Kluyveromyces lactis: one gene and its partner. The protein of the gene in region 1 interacts with the protein of each later gene in a pairwise test. Links are inferred from orthologs where the notes say so. Each region holds a gene or a part of one and is shown on either strand. Other genes may lie near its edges.

Region 1 (3,765 bases):
TCTTATGGTGCCATACAAGCAACGAAGTTTCAATTACTCCAACTGATTGAACAGACGTTGAAAGAGCAATATAAGAAGAATTTTTTGATCAGCAACGGCCGAGTTCGCTGCTTACTTTTGATTTTTGGTAAAGCTCTTAATTCTAAACCGCACCAGGATATGACGACGGCTAAAACTGTTTTCAGTGCTATCTTTCATAATAGACAAGGTGTTCAGGGATACTCGATGAGGACGAATTTCAAATTAGCTCTAAGAGAATTGGATTGGCAATGGTATCAGATGTTCAAATATTTATCCCCCTTCCTATAAAACTTTTGCCGTTTATGAATATCCGTTCCTTAATGCCGCTCTTGTTGAGAATCTAAACGCGGGAGGGTGGAATTCATATATGTAAAATGTATATATTCAAAAAAATCTGTTAATTCAAAAGCTGATTATGCTTCCTGAATGCGATTATGTAGCTCTTTCCATATTTCAAGATTTCTAGTGGCATTCTCCTTCATATATTTCGCATAATTCTTAAAGATTTGAGTCAATTCTTCGTCACGTTCTTTAATGAAGTTTGGTAATTCAGTATTCTTTAGAGTTTCAGAAATAACGACGAGATCACTAGTAGCAACTTTCAATGTTTCATCTAGTTGTATCAACTCTTTCTCTAAGGATCTTGCAGCTGCTGCAGGATCTTGTTCCTGATAACTGACAGAGTCCTTAATTATGATTGCAAGTTGGGTAAACTTATTTATGAATTTTCCAGAGTAGCTTTGTGGTCCTGCAGGGTTTTCTAGATTCACTGCTCCATTTGTACCAAGCTCTTCCTTTACCATATTGTCTATTTGCTTGTGGTCGTTTTCTTGCTGTTGGAACTTGATGAGTTGACCTCGCTTGTAAAGTATTGTCCTTTCTAAGATATCTTTTTGGATCAACTTTAACCTTCTATAATGAATTAAATCCCGCACAGCAGTGGCCATGTGGGCACATTCACTAAGAGGCTCATTAATGTTGTAATGCAAATTTCCGACAAGAGTTTCCAGAATTTCTTGCAGAGTCCCATATGCATCACTGGAGTGTGAAAGTAATTCTGCTAGTCCACTCTCGTTCTTTGTTTCGTCAGTTGACAATTGTGCAAACTCAGAGCTGATTCCTTTCAAATCTTCCCGTAAATAGTTCACCTCCTTGGTAGTAGCTCTTGAGTATTTATACAAACCAGAATGTATCAATTGTTCGTAATTTTTGAATTCCGCTTCAATTTTAGTGAACTCATCAGCGTCCGAAGCTGAATGATTGTCCTTTGATGCCAGCAGTTGTGTTGATGATGACGGTACTGGCAAATATGAATGTGCTTTTGTAGTGTTTGTAGGGTCTATTGGATTGCACTGAAGAACACTTTTCGGTAATGATGAGATAGTAAGAGAGCTTGTGATTAGATCGTTCCAATTTTTATTGTTCGGATCCAAAAAGTCGTACACGATAGAAGTCTTTGTTATTTCCTGGTTTTTCAAGAGTCTGTTCAAGAAACTTGTAAGCATCCTGATTCTGTGCCGTATGAGCTTCTCATCATTCGTGGTAACCGGTCCGTTAATTACTGATAGCGAAAGATCTACTGAGTCTCCGCTTTCCGTTGGTAATAGGTAACTTGATTTAGAATATGTCATTGCTTTTCCGTAACTCTTGAGTGATTGCTTTTCAGGAATTGGCGGGATCAAACTTATTGGAAATAACTTAACTAACACTTTCCGCAAACTCTCAAAATCGCTGTAACGCCGCTTCACAATTGAATCACCATATTTGATAGCGTAAGCGATATATGTTCTTCCCTGTCCTTCGGATACTTTACTTGCCTCGAGTATTTGGGCCCTTTTCTTACCTTCTTTTGTCATCCCGCTCGCGTTATGGTTTAAGGTATTATATGGCACATCTGGCGAACTATCCTTACTCGTAGCTACTGAGCTCCTACGCCGTTCCTTACTATTTTTTCTTCTGTTTGGCTGAAGAAGCTGGTCCTCGTTATCATCACTTCCGGCGTTTTTGGCATTCTCATCATCGTCATCATTCTTTCCATTCTCATCACTTCCGTCCACGTTATCCTGCATATAGTTGAAAAATGGGTTGTCCTTTTTGATAATCTGGGTATGTATTACATTCTCATGAGGTTGATCACCGTTCTGGTTCGTGACTGCAGTGTCTTTGGGAGATCCGTTGCTTTCCCTTCTCATCTCGCTCTGCGTCTGTAAATCAGGTTCATGCTCCTTATGCTCCTCAACAGTCTTATTGTTTTTAAGTCTTGAAGGACTGTTATTTTCTAAATGCGTTACTGAATTCGGCATTGGTTCAAAATTTATCTGCATAAGGTCACTAAATAGCTCTTCATATGCTCCTAATTCAACCCTTTATCTACTCATATTGAAGTTCGTGTCAATTCATAAGGGGCGTTTTACATGTCAACAAGTTGTAACTTAACTGCCATGTTCGGGTAACAGTCTTCTCGATTTCTAATACGTGTTTCGGGGCCCAAAGTTTTTCTGGCGCAGCCCAATTGTTCATCATCAACATGCATCTTGAAAAATCATTTATACCATTACGGTTAGTTAAATCGATCTGACCAGATGAGATGCGATGAGACCAGATAAACTTAATTACATGTTATGGGAATGTATATAGTTTTAGAACCTGATTTCAACGTAAGGATTTTTATATCAGATAATGAGCCACTCAAGGCAAATCTTGGGTAGGTATATCTCGCCCTCAGTACAAGAAGAGATTCTTTCCTCACTCATTGAAACTGAAGATTATGAAGGTATTAGTTCGGTGCTAAGTTCGGTTGAACTAACAGAAGATGTCTCCATTAACACTGGCAATAGACTATCTATCACTCTTGGAGAAGTAATCGCTAAACATGTCAATGATGACGATGGTTTGCGAGTTGAAAAAGATCAACAACTAATTGCATTGCTTAAGCTTTGTCCCAAGCTAAAGCAAAGCAATAAATTTATGCATGATTTTCTAAGTTCCCATTTGAGCTCATTCATCCTTTCGCATATAACAATGCTATTTGATGTTGAATGTCAACAACTGATTAGAATATCTGGGTTTATTCAAGTTAACTCGCTCGATGACGGATTGATCTTAGATGGAACAAAACTGCTAGACATTCTTGAAGTGTTGGTTCAAGGGTCCGCTTCAGGATCATATAACGACCTCATCGCCAACAGTGTCAACATTGGAAAGCTACTCTTTTTACTTTCGTTATCGAAGGATGAGAAACTTTCAAATGCGGCGACTTCTTTGTTCAAATGGTGGATCCCATCGTTCGCTACAGCCTGCAAAGAGGATGAGAAACTAGATATAACCGTATGGTCTCTTTTACGTAACTTGCTTACCGAAAGCGCACCAATCACAGTTGCAAAAAATGGCTATATCTTTTGTTTAAGGATGTTAATGGAGGATGGATTCTCAACAACAAGTCAAAGTTTCGCCCAATCAAAAGATTACTGGAATTTAATACAATCCGGACTAAACCAGGAGGTTCATGAAATCAAGAAAATTGTGCTCTCTATCATGAAGTTGAGTCTCCAATTACTTGCTCAAAATAACTTACCCATCCTAACCGATATTATCCAATTCAGTGGAAGTAGGTCTGAGATTGAATCATGGAAAAAGTTTACCACCTTATATGAGATTGTCGGGATTGATACCGCTTTGAATCAGTGTGAGGCGGCTGCGCCAGATATCCTTGATATTTTTGGAGATCCAAATGTTCATGCTAGT
Region 2 (3,367 bases), on another chromosome or scaffold:
TTGACTATGATATAGTAGATCTCGGTTCTGACATTAAAAAACCAGATTTTCCGCAATTGAGTGAATCTCATCGCATTAATGAACAACAGTACTATATCACTGAGGACACGCCATTGAATAAGAGAAACTTCATGTATCAGCCTTGTGCTGCAAATCTAATGTTGGATAAGCTCAAGTATTGTGGCACAGACTATTTTGATAAAAGCTCTATCAATTTGATGGATAGATCCGACAAATTAGCATTTTCATTGGACGACCATTCGGTGAGTGTCAGCGAGAACTGCGGGTGGAGGAGCGTTAGAAGCGACGTTTGTATGAAAGAAGGAAAAATATACTGGGAAGTGGAGGTGAAAAACGTTTCTGATACATCACACATCAGATGCGGGATAAGCAGAAGAGAGGCATCAACAGAAACTCCAGTCGGATGTGATTTTTACGGTTATAGCATTAGAGATAAAGGATTGCAAGTTATTCACGAAGGCCGCTTGCATACAGTTTTGAAACCACACGAGATGCAAGCAGGTGATAGAATCGGATTTCTACTGACTTTACCTTCCCTGCAGTCTCAAAGCGAGCAAGCCATGGATTATAGTTTAAAACGAATCCAAGAGCTAAACAACGACGACAGCCGCACCAACAAAAGGAATAAGAAATTCAATAAGGAATTCTACAAGTTTTTACTGCGTTCATGCGAGCCAACGAATGTAGTTAGAGATCAAATTGCCATCAGATATAAAAATCAATTGTTTTACGAAAGTACCGATTATGTCAAAACTACAAAACCGGAATATTATGACAACAGGGACGACATGCAAAAGTTTTACGAACTTGAAAACTCGAGCTTCGAAGTTTTCGTAAATGGTGTTTCCCATGGAATAGCTTTCGAAGGCCTTACACCATTCTTACCTCCGTTCAGCGAATTGCAGTACAATGAGAAGTTTTATTTGCATCATTGGAATAAACGTAATGTCACGAAGGGGATCGAAATAAGAAATAAATACGTAAACAACAACAGGCTAGGTTATTATGCCACTTTGAGTTCATTCCAGGGAGGCACTGCATCGATCATAACAGAAGCCATGGAACTCAAGTTTCTACCGAAAGATGTAGATATCAAAACTCTGAATGATATCTACAATGAGCAGATCGCAAGTGATATTGTATGGGACTTAATAGACGAAATTGATACATAAAATAGAAAAAGAATCTTTCTAAATACTCATTTATAGAGAACGTAACCGTAAATTAACATTATAGTTCTCCAAAGCTTAGCACTCCAATGTGTTGGACCAACTAGCACCGTGAAAACATTTCGACCGAATAGTTCATGGTTATAAAGAACTTAAACTATCCTTATACCTTATATTGAGTTGTTACCTTAAAAATAAAAAAAAATAGTTGGAAACACAGTAAACCAGAAGAACTTCATATGATAGAAAAGGGATCACTAAATAGAAGGTAAAACACTGTACAAGAAGCCGTCATATACTGACGCCAGCAATACGAATAATATCTCATGCAATATGAGTGAATCAGGAACTTTGACAAATAAAGAATCAGATACTAAAATATTAAGTGTGCTGGTGTCTGATCCTCAGAAACAGAAAACGCATTCGCAGACATATATCACCTATCAAGTATCCACGAAAATAGATGGCAAAGATGAACCGAATTGTGTGGTGAGGAGGTACAATGATTTTGTACTCCTACATCAAATATTGATAAACGATCATCCTGCACTGCTTGTTCCTCCATTACCCGATAAGAAAGTCCTAAATTATCTTTCAGGGGATAGATTCTCACATTCTTTTACTCAGAAACGTTGTCGTTCTCTTCAAACGTTCATGCGCAGGTTGTTGAGTCACTCAGAGCTTTCCAAATCCAGGATTTTGGAAACGTTTTTGACCAGCACAGATTGGGATGTTTATAGAAGGAGTTTGACGGGGCAAATTTCCACTTCTGAAGTTAGTGATGTTTTGATAAACGCTTTCAAACACGTAAACAGACAAAGGGATGAGTTTGTCGAGATTAAGGAAAAGAGCGAAAAGTTAGACCATAATTTGAGCCATTTGGACAAGCTATTCCATAAATCTGTGAAAAGAGTTGATCTGATCGGACAGAATTTGAAGAAATTACAATCCTCTTTATCAGGATTACAAGAACTTTGCTGCGATGAAAAGGAGCTATCAAACAGTATCAAAGCCTTTAACGATGGAACGATGCAATTGATAGATTCATTAAATGATTTGAACAAATACGTTGACTATGAGTATAACGTTGATATTAAAGATATGATAAACTATATCGAGGCATTGAAACAACTAATAAGGCTGAAAGATCAAAAACAAATAGATTACGAGGAGCTATCAGAGTATCTAACGCGATCCATAAATGAGAAGAATAATTTACTTTCTGGCTATGGGTCAGGAAATTATTTCAAGAGTAAACTGGAAGAACTAGCTGGTATCAATCAAGAAATGGCAAGAAGAGATAAGATAGCGAAATTAGAGACCAGAGTTCAATCTTTAACGGACGAAGTCGAAAAATCAAAACAAGTCGCTGATGAATTTGAGAAAGAGGTTCTCAAAGAGGTCGAACAGTTTGAACAAATAAAAACTTTGGAATTGAAAGATTCGTTAGCTGCTTTGGCTCAAAAACATATTGATTTTTATGATGATATGGTGGAGAAGTGGTCGAAGATCGAAGAACGTCTCGAAAGCGCCTGACGGCTGGATTTTTTTTTGAAGCCTCTCACTGTGTTTCAAAACACTACAAAGGCTTCGTAACAATTACGTAGAGACATCGATTAATAAGTTTGTACTTTTGTTTCAGTATTTATGACTATCTAGCTATCTTTATGCAATGAAAAAAAAAACGAAAACCAGAAAGAGAGTACATCCATCATGTTGTGAGCATCACTAAAACTTGGAATTGTTTAATTGTGTCAAACTCAATAAGTACAATTAACACTCTGCACCTGTTCAATCAGGTCATGCAAAAAACTTTCATCGCAGCCAGTATCTATGAGATCCCAATCAATTTCATCGTAGACGTCTCTATGCGAATAAAATGCATCTCTAAACTCCTGGCCAAATTCATCTTCAAACTCTTCGAGCGTTAAATACTTATCCCATTGTAGTGGAGGGAAGGTCTCTTTATCCAGTTTTCTATCTTTCTTTGTTCGTGGTTTGGGTGCCCTATCATTTTCTCTAACATAAAAGTAACGTAGAAGCATTATAGCTTCTCTGCGCAAAACGCCGGGGATGCTCACATATTTATTAGATTTATTTGTAGATGTATCATTATGAATGCATAATATAGATCCATTCCCACCAAATCTTTCATTTCCGCAACCAAATACTACCTT

The links.
Region 2: the proteins of ATG20 (region 1) and SNX4 interact in binary tests that used the Saccharomyces cerevisiae proteins (3 or more experiments, as listed by UniProt). The link is inferred for Kluyveromyces lactis from reciprocal best matches to the Saccharomyces cerevisiae genes ATG20 and SNX4.

Annotation. Positions count from the first base shown.
Region 1 is NC_006041.1:817,395-821,159, forward strand, and holds ATG20 (Atg20p), read right to left. Parts: upstream 2,346-3,765; coding exon 435-2,345; downstream 1-434. Other genes in the region: KLLA0_E09153g (short-chain dehydrogenase/reductase), read left to right, coding at 1-309; TRM3 (tRNA (guanosine(18)-2'-O)-methyltransferase), read left to right, coding at 2,701-3,765. UniProt on the Saccharomyces cerevisiae protein: Required for cytoplasm to vacuole transport (Cvt), pexophagy and mitophagy. Also involved in endoplasmic reticulum-specific autophagic process and is essential for the survival of cells subjected to severe ER stress.
Region 2 is NC_006039.1:941,789-945,155, forward strand, and holds SNX4 (Snx4p), read left to right. Parts: upstream 1-1,523; coding exon 1,524-2,726; downstream 2,727-3,367. Other genes in the region: BRE2 (Bre2p), read left to right, coding at 1-1,193; TAD2 (tRNA(adenine34) deaminase), read right to left, coding at 2,951-3,367. UniProt on the Saccharomyces cerevisiae protein: Sorting nexin, involved in the separation or division of vacuoles throughout the entire life cycle of the cells.